Linked DNA regions of Daphnia pulex. Each later gene encodes a partner of the first gene's protein in a complex. Links are inferred from orthologs where the notes say so. Each region holds a gene or a part of one and is shown on either strand. Other genes may lie near its edges.

The links. Proteins that work in one complex are often made in the same cells at the same time.
Region 2: protein Red-like (region 1) and microfibrillar-associated protein 1-like share a complex: the UniProt entries of both Homo sapiens proteins name them as parts of the spliceosome B complex. The link is inferred for Daphnia pulex from reciprocal best matches to the Homo sapiens genes IK and MFAP1.
Region 3: protein Red-like (region 1) and pre-mRNA-splicing factor 38A-like share a complex: the UniProt entries of both Homo sapiens proteins name them as parts of the spliceosome B complex. The link is inferred for Daphnia pulex from reciprocal best matches to the Homo sapiens genes IK and PRPF38A.

Annotation. Positions count from the first base shown.
Region 1 is NC_060027.1:2,115,570-2,121,162, forward strand, and holds protein Red-like, read left to right. Parts: upstream 1-2,176; 5' UTR 2,177-2,313; coding exon 2,314-2,323; intron 2,324-2,390; coding exon 2,391-2,421; intron 2,422-2,495; coding exon 2,496-2,666; intron 2,667-2,724; coding exon 2,725-2,886; intron 2,887-2,953; coding exon 2,954-3,226; intron 3,227-3,297; coding exon 3,298-3,856; intron 3,857-3,922; coding exon 3,923-4,078; intron 4,079-4,146; coding exon 4,147-4,397; intron 4,398-4,459; coding exon 4,460-4,490; 3' UTR 4,491-4,679; downstream 4,680-5,593. Other genes in the region: flocculation protein FLO11-like, read left to right, coding at 1-1,262, 1,327-1,582, 1,641-1,810, 1,875-1,955; ribose-phosphate pyrophosphokinase 1, read right to left, coding at 5,200-5,292, 5,359-5,518, 5,585-5,593. UniProt on the Homo sapiens protein: Involved in pre-mRNA splicing as a component of the spliceosome. Auxiliary spliceosomal protein that regulates selection of alternative splice sites in a small set of target pre-mRNA species. Required for normal mitotic cell cycle progression.
Region 2 is NC_060019.1:11,264,541-11,270,110, reverse strand, and holds microfibrillar-associated protein 1-like, read left to right. Parts: upstream 1-1,868; 5' UTR 1,869-2,011; exon of another isoform or gene 2,012-2,079; intron 2,080-2,792; 5' UTR 2,793-3,283; coding exon 3,284-3,501; intron 3,502-3,570; coding exon 3,571-3,889; intron 3,890-3,954; coding exon 3,955-4,033; intron 4,034-4,095; coding exon 4,096-4,253; intron 4,254-4,316; coding exon 4,317-4,643; intron 4,644-4,705; coding exon 4,706-4,984; 3' UTR 4,985-5,094; downstream 5,095-5,570. Other genes in the region: ADP-ribosylation factor 6, read right to left, coding at 2-144, 217-415, 488-591, 674-755. UniProt on the Homo sapiens protein: Involved in pre-mRNA splicing as a component of the spliceosome.
Region 3 is NC_060022.1:2,882,095-2,887,005, reverse strand, and holds pre-mRNA-splicing factor 38A-like, read right to left. Parts: upstream 2,944-4,911; 5' UTR 2,799-2,943; coding exon 2,669-2,798; intron 2,604-2,668; coding exon 2,444-2,603; intron 2,379-2,443; coding exon 2,257-2,378; intron 2,221-2,256; exon of another isoform or gene 2,194-2,220; coding exon 2,108-2,193; exon of another isoform or gene 2,043-2,107; coding exon 1,452-2,042; 3' UTR 1,403-1,451; downstream 1-1,402. Other genes in the region: mitochondrial import inner membrane translocase subunit Tim16-like, read left to right, coding at 3,248-3,406, 3,485-3,706; furin-like protease 1, read right to left, coding at 4,263-4,558, 4,617-4,826, 4,906-4,911. UniProt on the Homo sapiens protein: Involved in pre-mRNA splicing as a component of the spliceosome.

The sequences.
Region 1 (5,593 bases):
GGATACCCAGCGATGACTCCAAACAACAGAAGAAAAAGGGTACGCCAACCAATTCTCCGTTACGCAGTGCTGCTGATATCCCACCATCTGTGGAAAAGCCTGGTCAAGTGCAAACAAACGAAGCTGTTTTCCAGCCTATGCAATTTACTCCAGCTCTTCCACAGACTTTGTCAATAAGTCAAATTAACCAGATCACTTCGACGATTTCTTCCGTAATTGCACAATCAGTGGAAACAATCAGTTGTACGAAGAAGACGCCGACGCCCGTCATCCTTCCCAATCAGTCTAAAAAGGCAACATCTCCGTCCGAATCGTCACTTGCTGCCGAGTCTCACAATCAGTCAAAAGAGATTTCAGCAGCTAAATCTCAAAGTGTTTCTTCATCGCCTAAAGTTACGGAGCCTAAAGTACCGGATCCTAAACCTGCAGAGCCTAAAGCCGTAGAGCCGAAAAAGTCAGCTACTGTTGCAGAAAAAGCAAAAGTTGTTACTCCAAAGAATGTTGCGAATGCTTCCAAAACGACAGAAAAGTCAGCGGAAGTCACTACTTCACGGCCGAGTGAAAATGTGCGCACTTATTCAAAGCGGGACGAAGCAAGCAGTAAAAACACTACCCCAAAACCTTGTCCTCCAGTCAATCCTCAAGTCTCTGGAGCAGCTGGTAGATTATCGGCTCGAACAACTGAACCTAGCCAGGGGAAAGATGCCGCTGCTACTGCAACACCCTCAGTTTCCACGCAAAAATCTACCAGTTCCTCCACTACTGCCAAACAGACAACACCAGCGACTACCACAACAGCCCCTCGAACGAATTCATCTAATCCGATTCTATTGAGGTCGCACGAATCGTCGGTGAGGTGCGTGTACATCTGTGGGCCGTGCGCATTCACGGCTTCAGAAGATGGGACGGTCCACATTTACGATTTGAATACGAATGCGCTCGCCATGCGGATATTGGGTCACACCAAGCCGGTTACTTGGTTGTACGGAGTCGCATTGAACACGTCGGGTGAGGTGATGAAGTCGATCAAGTCCACTACTGACTATCTCAACCACTTGACGCTCATCACGGGCAGTGAAGACGCACACATTCGACAGTTTGCATTAGACAGTGGCTCCTTGATCCACGAAAGATTTTGTAAACATGCTTTGACGTGTGCAGTGGGCCACAAATTTATCACAAAGCTCTATGTGGGCACTACGGAAGGAACCATCTTCACTTATAATCCCAAAATCAATAGTATCCGGATAAACAAATTTAAAGTAAGTTTGATTTGGTAAAATAAGTTACGAGTTAGAACAATTTCAAAAGCTTCTATTTTTGCAGGCGAATGGTGAAGTCATTTGTATGAAGATACTAAACGTTCGGGGAAAAAGAGCAATCATTGTGGCAGCGAGGCGAATGGACCCCGTTGTTTATGACTTGGATACGGAAGATGCTCTCTTCACATTGACCTCAAACATTCCGAGCAGTTCTTTTTACTGTATGTCAAGTACCTCGCACTATGTGTTCTGCTGCGACGCCAACAAGAACCTCTTTAAATTCGACACAAATAGTGATAATATGTATATCACGGAAACTCGTAAGAACGTGTAGAGTTAATTTTCCGATAAAGTAATTAAAATTTTCAAATGTTTTAGTTCCCTCTGCGGCTGTGAGTTCGTCCTTTGAAGGGAACCGATATCTCATCCTTGGCTGTATGGATGGAGTTATTCGAGTAATAGATACATTGCATAAGCCGTCTCGAATTATCACTTTGCCAGGGCAGGCCTTGAAGACAATCACATGTATGAAAATCGTCAATGGCAAGGTATTGTTTTGGTTTACTTATTTTTGAAAATCCTGAGGCTTGAAGTAATGAAATTTTATTTCAGATGGTTGGGGGATCACTCAACGGTGAAGTTGCTTATTGTCAGCTTCCTAATTTAGAGGCTTTGTGTAAAGTCAATGGCTAATATGAAGAGATTTTCTCTGTGTGAAACTTATCTACTTTTTAAGTAGGCTTTGAAAGAATACTACAATGATTTCGTTTCATGGTACTGATTTTGTTATAATTCCGATGACAAAAACGCAGAAATAATGATGTGAAAAATACACTGGCGTAATGCTCAGAATTCATACTCCCCGCGTTTTTATTTATTTTGTTTTTCCTTCAGCTACTGTTTAGTATTCCCGTAGACTTAGCAGACGACGTTAGTTTGCTTCGTCTGTTGTTTCGACAAGTTCGAAGTTTCGAACTGTTTGGCTTTGGCAAGCAAAGTTTTTGTAAATTTTGTTTTCTCATTGTGAATTCAACTATCTATCGGCCTAATAATGCCTGACAGTAAGATCATTGCTGTAATTTTTTATTGAAATAATGTATAGTAACTTTAAATTGAATTTCGTTTCAGGAGATGGGCAGGACGCTGGACCTGGGGAAGCGTAAGAAATGATTCATTCATTTAGACCATGTTCCAAATTAATGTAGCTTATTGTTTTTATTTTTTAATCCGTAGATCCTCCAGGTTGACAAACGATGACTTCCGAAAGTTGATGATGACACCTCGTGCTGGATTTGGATCAGGTTCAGGTTCTTCAAGTAATTTGGGGATGGGGTCTGTTCGAGGAGAGAGTAGTGTTCGTAAAACAACACATGGGAAAAGTGACCAGAAAAGAGCTAAAAAAAGGTGAGACACTCATTCAAACTATGCATTAATAGTTGTTAACGTCTTTGAATAATTTTAGTGAATACTTGAAAGAGAAAAAAGAAGAAGAAGAAATTCTAGCTGAACTTGCAAAAAAATATCGCGATCGTGCTAAAGAAAGACGAGATGGAGGCGAAGCTTCTGGCCCTGATGCGTTAGCGACACTTGGAGCTTATCGTGCTGTAGCACCAGATATAAAATCGTACTACAGTCATACTTTTCTACTGAAAAACTTCAAACAATCAACATGAATCAAATTTCTTTTACAGAACAATGGATGCTGCTGAACGAAGGAAACAAATGATCCAAGAATCAAAGTTTTTGGGTGGTGACATGGAACACACTCACTTGGTGAAAGGTCTCGATTATGCTCTTCTCCAGAAAGTACGCAGTGAAATGGAGCAGTTTGAAGAAGAGGATGACGAACAACTCGAACAGGCTGTTGAAGGCGAAAAAAAAGAGGGAGAAAAGGAAGTCGAGAAAAAGAAGGAAGGTGACGATGAGATCCAGTTTAAAACAATTATAGGAAAAAACATTTTTAGGTAAAACTTCAACTTCATATCATTGAAATGATCATGAGTTAATTTATTGTTTTATTTATTTTAAAATGCAGGGCCGTATTCAGATCAAAACCACCTGAGCGAAACGAACATTTCCTTCCTGGTCGAATGGCGTATCTTATCGAGTTAGAAGATGAGAATGCCGAGTCAGACATACCAACGACCGTGTTGAGAAGCAAAGCTGATTGCCCCGGACTGGAATCCTTAGCCACTCTGTCTACAAATGACATTGTCATTAATAAGCTGACGCAAATTTTATCGTACCTCCGGCAAGGAAAAATCGGCAAAAAGCTCAAAAAGCCCAAAGAAAACAAAGACATGCCACCCCCGCAAATCATCCCCGGCCTGAAAGTCAACAAATCCACAATAGTAGAAGACACCATCTACAGCAATATCGGGACTTATGTGGCCCCGACAAAGGAGAAAACTGCCTCTAGTAGTTCACGTGACAGGGAAAGGCGAAGTGACAAGCGTGACTACTTTGACGACAAATCCCGCAAGGATAAAGACGGAGATGCTGATCGAGACAAGTCCAAGGATGCTTTGAAAAGCGCCGCAGTTTTGGAAGCTGAACGGACTCTGGGTGCCCTGCTAAAACCAGGAGCAGCTGATGCAAGTTTTCAATAATGATACTGAGTTTCATCTTTTACCAGTTATTGATTGTCTATTGATTCACAGAAACGAGATGGTGGGTCTTCCAAGAAGGCAGATAAAATGCTTTCTAAACTATCCGCTGAACCTGAAGGATATGCCGAATGCTATCCTGGTTTCGAGGAAATGAACGACGCTCTTGAAGACTCGGACGATGAAGCCGATTACTCAAAAATGGACCTGGTAAGAAATGATTAAAACGTTGATTGAAAATTGATTTTACAGATTCTTTTTGTAAACTTATTTCTCAGGGCAACAAAAAAGGACCAGTCGGTCGATGGGACTTTGATACAGCGGAAGAGTATGGTGATTACATGAACAAAAAGGAAGCCCTTCCTAAAGCTGCCTATCAGTATGGTATCAAGATGGCCGACGGACGCAAGACGCGCAACAAGACTGTTGTCAAAACAGATAAGACGGAGAAAGCGGAACTGGACCGAGAATGGCAGAAGATCCAATCTATCCTACACAAGCGTAAAGGAGGTCCATCGGGAGAATCACAGTAAGTTTCATAATTATTTCAAAATGTTTTCCTGTATAATTCATGATTTCTTATTCGTTTAGAAAACCGGAGAAGTCTGTTCGTCGTAATTGATATTTTTCATCATTGGTTTTCCTTCATTAACCATATTCTACTGTATTGACCGCGAAAATGTTTTCTAATGTTCCCAATTAACTGCATTCATTTAGGTACCCATCGTGAATGAAAAGATTTGTTTTTCGTACCCTCACTAGCTTCATATATATTTCATCACAAGTGCAGTGAAACAATTCCAGAGCATCAGTCAATTTCATTCCATTTTTTTTTCTAAACAAAAACTATTTTTGTGGACCAAAAGATATTCAACAAGACAGAAAGTGAGAAAAGTATATAGTGGTTCGTCAAAGACTGACCCATATAAAAAGAAAAAGGATAAACACACATGAAAGCCACCACAAAGCACACCAACGAGCATCGAAAGAGGGCATGTGACAATTATGGCACAACTCTATTTGTCAATCTTGTCTATCAAGAAGAATGAAGGGGTTGGGCTCATCGCAACGGGCCAAATGGATGGAAAGAAAAAAGGCTGCTTGGGAGGAGTTTTCCATTTCATCTTGAAAGTAGCGGATAGATAGATATATATCGTGGTTGCCACACATAGACAAGTCGGGAAAAAAAAGAAGAAAAATAATGATCGAATGTGTGGAATGTATCTAAACTGCAAAAAGAGAAGGAGGGTTGGTGCCAGAGAGGGAGGCCACAGCGACAATCATTGTAGTGATGAAGCTCGCAGGTGTTCGGTGCGCTAATTGTACTATATTTAGTAGGGGACGTTGGAGAACAGGTACGACACCGACTCGCCATTGTGGGTGCGTCGTACGGCCTCGGCGAACATCATCGAAACGTCTATCACCTTCAAGATGAGACAATGGCATGTTAAAAAAGAGCTAATGCAAAGAGTAGTGCTAATTTAGATTACCTGGATTTTGGAGCACTCTTTCATGTGTCTATCTTGAGGTATAGAATTAGTGACAACTACCGCCTCGAAACAGGCGTTGTTGATGCGTGATATGGCAGGGCCAGAGAAGATACCGTGTGTTAAAATGGCATACACTTTTGTGGCACCTGCTTCGAGTAGTCTGTAGAAAACGAAATTAAGACAATAAATCAAAAACTCCCCTTTAATTGAAAAACTGTTATTTTACTTGTCTGCT
Region 2 (5,570 bases), on another chromosome or scaffold:
ATTACGATTTGTGATTAGATGTTAACCACGTTAGTCCTTCATACAAGCCGTCGCCTGTTGTGGCACATGCTGGCTGGACGTACCAGTTCCGATCACGAATACGAGTCAGCCCCAGTTTTTCTTGAATTTCGTGTGGTTTCATGGCTGTCAACATGAAAATGTCGTGAATAAATTGGGGTTCCACAGTCTCAATTATAATAATTGTAAAATACTCACCATCCTGGAGGTCTTGTTTATTTGCAAATATAAGGATGATGGCATCACGCATCTCACGATCGTTTATGATCCTATGAAGTTCTTGTCTAGCTTCGTCAATTCGATCTCGATCTGCGCAGTCCACAACGAATATCAAACCTTGGGTACCAGTATAATAGTGTCGCCACAGTGGGCGGATCTTATCTTGGCCACCAACATCCTGCAGTAATGATTCATATTTTAGTGTTGGGTTTAGAAATTTGATGGGTGAGGTCAAAAGGAACTAGCTTACCCAAACATTGAATTTGACATTTTTATATGTTACAGTTTCAACATTGAATCCAACGGTGGGAATTGTTGTGACTGACTGTCCTAATTTCAGCTTGTATAGAATTGCTATTTTGAAAAACAAAAATAATAAGTATAACTTGGAAAAAAACCAATGCTATCAGACAACACATAAAATTCTTTATCTCACTTGTTTTTCCAGCTGCATCCAGCCCCAGCATGAGTATCCTCATTTCCTTGTTTCCGAATATTTTGGACAGTATTTTCCCCATTCTCCTAATCAGCTCACTAACAAGCTGTTTTACAAGAAAAGAACTTTATTTCAAGCAACAAAATGACCCTGTCAGCCACAGCCATATAGTTTATCCACATCTGTAGAACTGAAGTGTCAAACTAGTTTGGTAACTTTTCAGTGACATTTGTGGCAAAAGTTGTTATCAGAAAAAAATAAACAGACTTTGCTCAGTCATTTACAGCATACTAGCTAACATACTATTATCAGATCAGGTTTTCCACTTACTTTAATGTAGACTCAACAATGACGTTTACTGGAATTTTAGCTGTAATATGGAAGTATTTTCGAAGGCATTCCTATGAACCGGAGTCGTTATTTGCACAAACACTATTTTGTTTTTGATGTGAGCACTAAGAAATCGATGGAAGGCGTTGGAAACAGGCGAAAATAAATAGTTTCTTTGCTTCTTCAGATAAAAAGGCACCTGTCACTTCAGTTAGCCGCCCAAACACCCGACCCGGTCTTCCCGATATCTTTGCAAGTCTTCAGAAGATCCAAAAAACTCGGGCCTTCCAATGTAATGAACAGACAGAATAGTACTCCTTGCATCTCACCAGATGGCTTTTTTTTCCTTCTTCCAATTTTGGTGACGGCGGCGTCTGAAAACAACTAGCTATTTCAGACTTTAACACATTCCACTCAACTAATCAATTATTTCTATTATTACACTTATTCAAGTGGAATAACGAGAGGAATGACATACACACACCAGTGTAATTGAGCAGATGGAATTCCAACACTGACAGCCAGTGTCCCCTTTTCTGCCCACCTTCTGATCCGCCCACCCAAGCTTCGATTTGATTCGATTTCAAAACCATTCCCTAACCGTCAACGTGTTCCCTCCCACATCTTTAAAATGTATTATTGAAACAACGAGTGATAAATTATTTTATTATAATTTTTAATGCAGGATTCATTGGTTCGAAAGGGGAAAATTTATTTAGCAGTTTCTAACATTTCTAAAAATTTGATCGGCAATACGGCAAGTGTTTAGTAGCGACGTCTATAATTTCAATTTAAGTAGCGGTCTCTGGCGTCAAGATTACGAAAGAAAAGTTGAAATTCATGAACACATTTTTCTTTTTAGGTTGCCGGAAGTCGACAAAATGCCTCAAGCCGGATCCCTATCTCCTCCCTTAACCCCCCGCAGCAACAGCTAACAGGTTGTCTCGGCTATCAAAGTGCATTTAAGGAAGCTGAATTACTCATTTTACAACTGAAACATTTCACCATGTAAGCCGCTAGCCGTAGTCTTTTGTTTTTTTTCCAAAAGAAGCATATTCACCATAAATATGTTCATGGTTTGTACATAGTGTTTCTATACAGTCACCGCCACCATGTTATGACGTTTTTTTGATGGATTGTTATTTCTTGTTGTTGCTTTTCGGACACATGTGTACTTGACTACTCAAAAGATTTGCTTTTCTCCCACAATACTTATTACTGGTTAGGTATTTTTCTATAAATAAGCACACTAGTGCTTGTTGCCTGGAAAGATTTATTTTAGCTCCTTTCTTTTATTACAGTACAAAACAGTTATTTATTAAGAAATAAAATGGAGACATCGAAGTAGAATTTCGAAACCGCACATTATTATGCTATGACGATAAAAAAAAAGCGGTAGAACCACCAAAAATATTCGGTTAAACTTTCGAGCGGATATATTTAGTGGAATATAGCGTGAGGTAAATTTTGAAGTGTGTGTCTAATCGATGTCCTTGAGTTCAATATCTTCGACGATCCGGTGAAAACTGCACGAAGTCATGCGGAGCTTTGAATACTTTGGTGTTTCGAAACAGTTGATAATAAGCTGAAACTCGTAAAACCACCGCCATTGCGATCAAATAGTGCGATGTGTAAAATCTAGCTACGACATAAGTAATTTCCTACAAAGTAAGTAGTAAGTAGGTAGTTGCTATATACAATAAATGAGTGATTTATTGTAACGTCATAATGAGGTCCAAATTCCTAAATTCCGACATTAATTTTCTCAGATTTATTTCGTGATTCTTAGGCACTTCAAGGTAAACGAGATTCCTCACGGTTGCCAATCCCTGGATAGAACTTGGCGAAAGGTCTCCATGGATTTTGGTCACGGCCTCTTTATCCTGATCCTGCTATCAGCTAATAAAACTCAGATAAAACTATCGTGTTTGCATTGTGTTGCCTAGAAGCAGCATAATCAGATTTTCAGTGGATTACAGCAACATCAATTGCTGGGTACTGGTCACAGTCTGCAATAACATGTCATACAATATTACGTGCCATAGGAGACGGCAAAAGTCACGTCATTCTTTATTTCAATTTAAGTTCTTAGATGGCGCAGTAGTCGTCTTCAATTTCATTCGCCAACAGAGGACTCTGCACTCTGGTGATCCGATGAGTGGCCCACTGGCCCTGAATAGAGTATGCAATGGCAACGAAAAAAACATTGAGTGAAAATTCAGACAACAAACGCGTGTATATGGTCGTTCCGTATTAAGATTAAGACAATTTTTTGTGAAAATGTCGTCATCCAAAGTGGTCCCTATCCTTTCAACCGCGGGTGCTATCCCTGTGAAAAATGACAAAGGGGAGATATCTATGCAAAAAGTTAAAGTCAATCGTTACGTATCAGGCAAACGACCAGACTACGCTACTACACATTCATCTTCAGATGATAGTGATGAAGAAGAGTTTATCAGACCAAGAAAGCAGGCAAGAGGAAGACCAGTAGAAGAAAGGTATTAAATTATTGATTGTAGATATGTATTTATATGCTTGTATATTTAAAAAATTTGATTAAATTGTAGTCCTGAAAAAGAATGGGACGAAACCCCAGATCTTCCACTTACTGCTCACAGTGACAGAAGATTAAAACGTCTTTTAAATCGTGAAGTTGACGACCATAGAATTGAAAGGCATCGTCATATCCATGAGCCTGAAATTATTGGAACAGAAGAAGATGAAGTAACACCTCATTTAGAAAGTGAAGAAGTAAGTTTTAGCAAAAATGCCCGAAGATGGGAATCAAGTGAAGAAGAGGATGAGGCAGAAGATCTTGATGAAGATGACATTGAGCGCAGAAGAATGATTGCACGTCAGAAGGCTGTTATTAAACAGCAAGAAGAAGTAAGTTAATATACTTTGTAGTATGATCATTGATCAATTCAATTCAATTGCAAATTTTGTTGTAGGAGTTGTTGGCAAGAGAGGAGGAGAAGGAAAGTGAGGAAGATGAAGATGACGAAGCTTCAGAATATGAAGAATATACAGGTTTGAAATAAAAGTCCCTTGATGTGAACAAGACTCTAAATCTGTTGTGTTTTTTATCCTAGATTCTGAGGAAGAAACGGGTCCAAGACTGAAGCCCATCTTCGTTAGCAAGAAAGAACGTATAACCATAGCTGAGAAGGAAAAGGAATTGCAAAAACAAAAGCTTATGGAACTTGAAGCTAAAAAGCTTGCCGAAGAACGTCGCCGCTATACCTTAAAGGTAAACCATTTTTAAATTTATACACTTTTTGAACTAAAAAAGCATTAAAAATCTATTAAACAGGTTGTTGAAGAAGAAGTCAGAAAAGAAATGCAAGCCAAAGACGAAAAAGACCTTGAATCAGGAATCTTGTCGGTGTTGACGGATGCCGAGGATGAAGAACTCGAATACGAGACCTGGAAATTACGTGAACTTAAACGCAATAAGCGTGACCGAGATGAAAGAGAGGCAGAAGAAAGAGAACGACAAGAAATTGAACGTATCCGTAATATGACCGAAGAAGAACGGCGACTGGAATTCAAGAACAATCCAAAGGAAGTCACAAACAAGGCACCAAAGGGCAAATATAAGTTCCTACAGAAATACTATCATCGCGGTGCCTTTTACCTCGTAAGTTCAGCTTTTAAAGATATTTGGGATTTTAAAAATAATTTAAACTCTTACTCTAACAGGACGAAGACAAGGAAGTTTTCAAACGCGATTTTGCTGTGCCAACTCTTGAAGATCACTTCGATAAGACTGTTCTGCCTAAAGTGATGCAAGTTAAGAATTTCGGTCGCAGTGGTCGAACCAAATACACACATTTGGTGGATCAAGATACATCACAAGCCGACGCACCGTGGGCCACGCATACTGCTCAGAATTTGAAATTCTACACACAGCATGCTGGTGGAGTAAAACAAGTGTTCGAAAGGCCTGCTTTGAAGAAGAACAATAACTCGGGTACTTGAGTTGTGGCACTGTTTTTATATTTGAAATTGAATTTTGTAACAATGTCTCATCTTTGTGGTTGATACATGCAAACCATCAATCGTACGTGAATTAAACATGTTTCCAGACATTCAATGTATCTAAAGGAAGGGGTAATCTTTTTTTTTCAGTCACTGCTTGTAGTAAAATTTTAAATCTTAGATTACCCTATACTTAGTAGTTCTCTTCTCTGCTGGTCTTTGTCTTTCTGGTCCTGGCTCCTTCTGGGCTGAGAAAACTTTTTTCGCACCCGCTAGATGTGCTGTGTACCGGGCTGGGTTGGGATGGGGTCATGGGGGTGTAAAAAGTTACACTAAGGGATAGCTCGAACAGTCGGACGCCGGCCTAGAAGTCAAGTAGGCCATGTCAGGATATTGTTTTGGGTCACGCCTATTGCACTCCGGGGTCCGGAGCGCTCTAGTGTCATAAGTGGCTATTGCAATCCGGAGTCCGGAGTCCTCTAGCGTCAAAAGTGGCTATTGCACTCCGGAAATTTATGGCGACGAATGGCAAATAACGACTGATTCTGTGTTTAACATAAATACCATTCAGCCTGAGTTCAGAGTC
Region 3 (4,911 bases), on another chromosome or scaffold:
TTTAAATATTTTCTTAGCTTTTGCATTATGTTTGGTTGTTTATTTGTGCTTGTTTTTATTACATCAAATTGTTTTTCTTTCGAAGGCTCATAACAGCCATAACAGGTAATATTTCGCGCTGTTTGGTGTTTCAAACGTGGGACCATCAATCAACCTAAGAACAAAGCCCCTGGTTTTTCCTCAAGAAGCTGGTAGATATTAAACATTTTACTTAGATCTGTTTTATCCAATAACCGTTTGATTTATTCGACAGGTTTTAACCAATTCGAAAAGGTACTTTGCAATAAATAATAAACCGGATTTCAAGCCATATATACACCGTTTCTGCAGCTTGCACCTGATCTGGCAGGCCGTCGGAACTCTATTAAGTTTATCTGAGAACCATCGGTACTTTGCCTAGACAGCGTCCTGGAGAAACTACTACTCCACTGCACCGCCTTCGAAGAAATTATGTGGTGTGTACATTCCCCTTTCGATAACTAAAGGATTCGAAGAACTCTCTTCATTTTCTAGGATACTTTCTGAGGTAGCGTTCGGTCTTTTTTTGTCTACATCTGCAATCTACATCTTCTCTCAGTGTCTAGAAAAAAAAATGGTGGAATTTCGATTCTATCAAAGACACTTACACCATCTAGTGGACATAGTTTTTAGCCAACGAGTGATCTAATGGCAATACATTTTATAGCTGGAAAAATGATGTCCAGTTCCAGTAAAAGAAAAGAAACCATGAAGATCCCACACATCACAGATCATTTAAATTTTAGTCAGACCACGTTAAAAAGGATTGGAAGCTGGTGTCGTCTGCATCTCCGAGGCCGTAGTACCGTAATCCGTGTTGAGCTTTTATCTTATAGGACGAGACTACGAGATCTTTAGCCTAACTAGTAACTACGGTACTGAGGAAAAATTGTAAGTGACGAAAAATAATAGGAAAAATTTCAAATGAGGAACAAGTCCTTTTCTGATTGTTATTCTTGCAACGGCTGATGCTTCGTAAGTTCTTAACGAAAGGAAATTTTGGAAAAATTATCTCAAAAAATAAAAATCACCATAAATTCATACTGGTGCACCAGCCAATCATGAAGTCATTACTGCGCGCCGAGGGCAATAATAGTTTTTCGGGATCCGTGAACAGATATAAACTTTTTCGCCATTTTACAAAGAATTCAGAAAACGGGGTCAACATTAAATAGTAGTGTCAAAATGATGATTGATCTACAAATTTGTGTTTAAAATGTCTGTTGGGATCAGCTAATACTTACCTTGTTTTTGACTCTTTTACATTTGCAATAACGAACACCGTCTCACTTAGGAAGAATCCTAAGTTCTTGTCTAAGTTGAAGTCTGCACATCCAACACAAGAAATAAGAATAAAGAATCAGATAGACCTCGGAATAATAAGGAAATGAAAAGAGTGTTTATTACAAAACGATTAGAAAAAAGACAGCAGATTACGGTCGCAAAGGAGCCAGCCCCAACTTAGCTCGCAAGGCATTCGCTTCTGCAATTTCAGGATCGATGGCAGCACTGGAACTGCTACTCTTTTTGCTATCTTTCTTTTTGTTGTTGTACTTGTCACGATCTTCGCCTCTTTTGCTTCGATCTCGTTCTGATTCACGATCTTTCCCGCGGTCCTTGCGGTCTCTACGATCCCTGTCTTGGTCTCTTCTGTAGTCACGCGAACGTTCGACTGAGCGGCTTCGCTGGCGGCGACTTCGATCCCTTTCTCTTTCACGACTGCGGTCCCTGTCACGCTCACGGCTGCGATTCCTTTTGTCACGACTTCGACTTCTGTCTCTATGTCGATCACGTCTTTCCCTACTTCTCTCTCGTTCACGTTCTTTATCCCTATTACGACGAGAACGTTCCCGTTCTCGATCACTGTCCTGCTTTGAACGCGATGTAGTAGGAGGGGGCGACAACGAACCTCCTTTCCTTTCACCCTCTTCTTCTTCACTTTCTGAATCTTCTTCCTCCAAGTCTTCTTCCAAAGCTGATACTCTCGGCTCAACTTCATTAGCTTCTTCCAGAATTTGACGTTTCTGAAAGTAAAATAAACCGTATTTAATCAGTATTTTTTAGGTTGAATACTAATTCACATTTATACCTGAAGTCTGGGCAGGATAACATCACAAAAACGCTCTTCTCTCAGTAAACTATCAATGAAATCATCCATGTAAAGAAGCTCAAAATCTAAATAAAACCACATGTTAATTTGCAGTATTCTTTTTAAAAATATCTTATTTTTATTATTACTTCCTTCCTTGTTTTGAAACCGAATTTTTCTGTAATCATTGTAAAGTGGTTCTAAATATTTATAGATTTCCACAGATGTTCCAACAAGTCTCATGTAGAATGCTCCCAAGGCACGGACATATCTATAATGATACATTATATTAGGTGATTTCCTGTATAACTTGTCTGTTTTGGTCAAAGAACTTACTTGAAATCTTCATTTTTTATAAACTCCACTACAATGTCCTTTTCTGGTTGGATTTGAAGCATTTTTAGTGTAAGTGAGAGAAATGGAGTAGGTTTAACATTACCACCAAATATTCCACCAATGTACCTTAATTCCATGGCCTTATCCACCATCAACTCAGCTAAAAAAATACATATACATAAATAAAATGAGTGCATCAAAACACAAGTAAAATTTTCAATATACCTGTCAAAGCAAAGCATTCTTCTTTCCAGTACTTTGAATCATAAATTCGAGTTCTAATAATCTTTTCAACCAAGTATTGAGGATTTGTTCCTTTAACAGAAATTGCCTCTTTGATTGTTCGATTAGCCATTTTGAATTAATCTAAAACACTAGATGTGTACAGTCAAAAGAATAATCATTGAAATTTAACTGTGTTGATAAAAAGTAAAACTTTGTCGGCATTAGCAACGGAACGACAGAACGACGCTTGAATCCGTCGTCTGCTACGGACAGACAGAGACATCAAGTGGTCAAGTGGGTGGGGCGATCAATTCATCAATTGAAAAGAAAATTTTATCGTTATTTAGTTTACTTTTATGAAATATTTTTATATTTTTAACAAATCAATCACTTAAGTTATTTAAGATTTTTCAAACTAAATTTTTTAAACTGACCTGTCTGTTCTGAGAGAAGAGTCTTCATTTTTTTCTGTAGCTTTTCCGTTTGTTTTTCGCCTGCTAAACATTCCAGTATACTACCTTGATACTACTACAGACGTAAATCATCACGTAATCATTTTGAATCTATCTCGCCACGGTTATGGCAAAATATTTGGCCCAAATAATTGTTATGGGGGGCCAGGTTATTGGGCGAGCGTTTGCTAGAGCTCTTAAACAAGAATATCAAGCTAGCCAGGAAGCTGCCAAAAGAGCTGGTGGTGGGAAAGCCGGCGCATCACGTGTAGAAGCTAACTTCAAGGTTTGTTTGTTACACACAAAAGTTATGTAATATCAGTAAATTTTAAAAAGTTAACATGTTTTTTTTTTCATTCTGTAGACAGGCATGACCCTTGAGGAAGCAAAAGAAATCTTGAATGTGGATAAATTAGAACCTGAGTTGGTGCAGAAGAACTATGATCACTTGTTCCAAGTTAATGACAAGACGAAAGGTGGTTCATTCTACCTTCAATCTAAAGTATACAGAGCTAAAGAACGACTTGACCAAGAAATGAAACATGAAACAAAAAAACAAGAACCGTCAAAAGAAAATAAAATGTAACCTTCTCCAAAACGACAGTTAAGGTTATGGAAATTATCTGGAATTTATCTTTGTAGTCAAATTGAAAAATTGTACATATAGGGATAACTAATAAAAATCATTTTTTATAACCTTTTTTATTCTAATATTATAGAATCCTTATGCATATTTTTTTATTGTGATGTGATGTATAAACATTTTTTCAGGTATGATTTTAATTTAGTAGGCTTTGTTCTTACCTTTATATTTGAATCATATATTTTAGTGAAAACTTTAATCTTAACACAACTTGTGATTGCTGCAAATTTATTTCACTATACATTTACCAAGCTCATTTAATTATTTGTTTTATATGCATTAGGCCTTCTATAGCAAACACGGTTTTTACCAGTTTTTACAATGACTGACGACGACAATCAATATGGTATCCGTTAGAATGTAATTTATTACAGAATCTGGCAAACCGCTCATTCAAATATTTATAGAACCTTTTTACAAATATAATCTTTACATTTTATAAATATTAAAAACTGACATTTTATCTTCTAAACAATGTTGACTTTAGAACTTTTACTCTTTAAACTGATTTTTCGGCGCCAATAGGTGGAGGAAGATTTGCGCTTGTTTGTGTCAACAGATCGTAGTCACCTTGCCTGTGGTTCGTTTCCCGTTCGTTGCTGCCGCTACAACAGTTTAAAACAAAAGAAGAACTGAAACTCTTTTTAGTGCACATCATGTAAATCGTTAAAGCCATCACGAGTGCTAAATTAAACGCCAGAGCCAGTTCGACACCCACGGACCAGTTTTCGTAGCCCGTTAATTGCTTTACGAGTTCATGCGGATAACAGTGCGATTCTGGTTCTATTTGGGATCCTACGGTGAAACAACATTTGTTAATAGATTTTTCAAACATAGGTCTAACCATCAGTACCTGGTATAGAAACAAACTTGAGCTGTGAATCAGGATAGCATGAAGTGCACTGAGAATCACTTGGTCCTCTGCAGTAAAGACAAGAATAGTGGCACGGAACGCATACACCGCTAAGGAGACCATTTAGTTCGGTGCGATTCATTGGATGTGAAGCATTCGGACAGACTGCCAAGCACTTGCCCTCCCACAAATAGGAACCACTTTCACACCCTGGGAGCCACAGCAGAAGAGGTATAATGGATTCAAATATGGTATGTTAATCAATCATGCTAAGTTAATCAAGTAGTACCTCTAA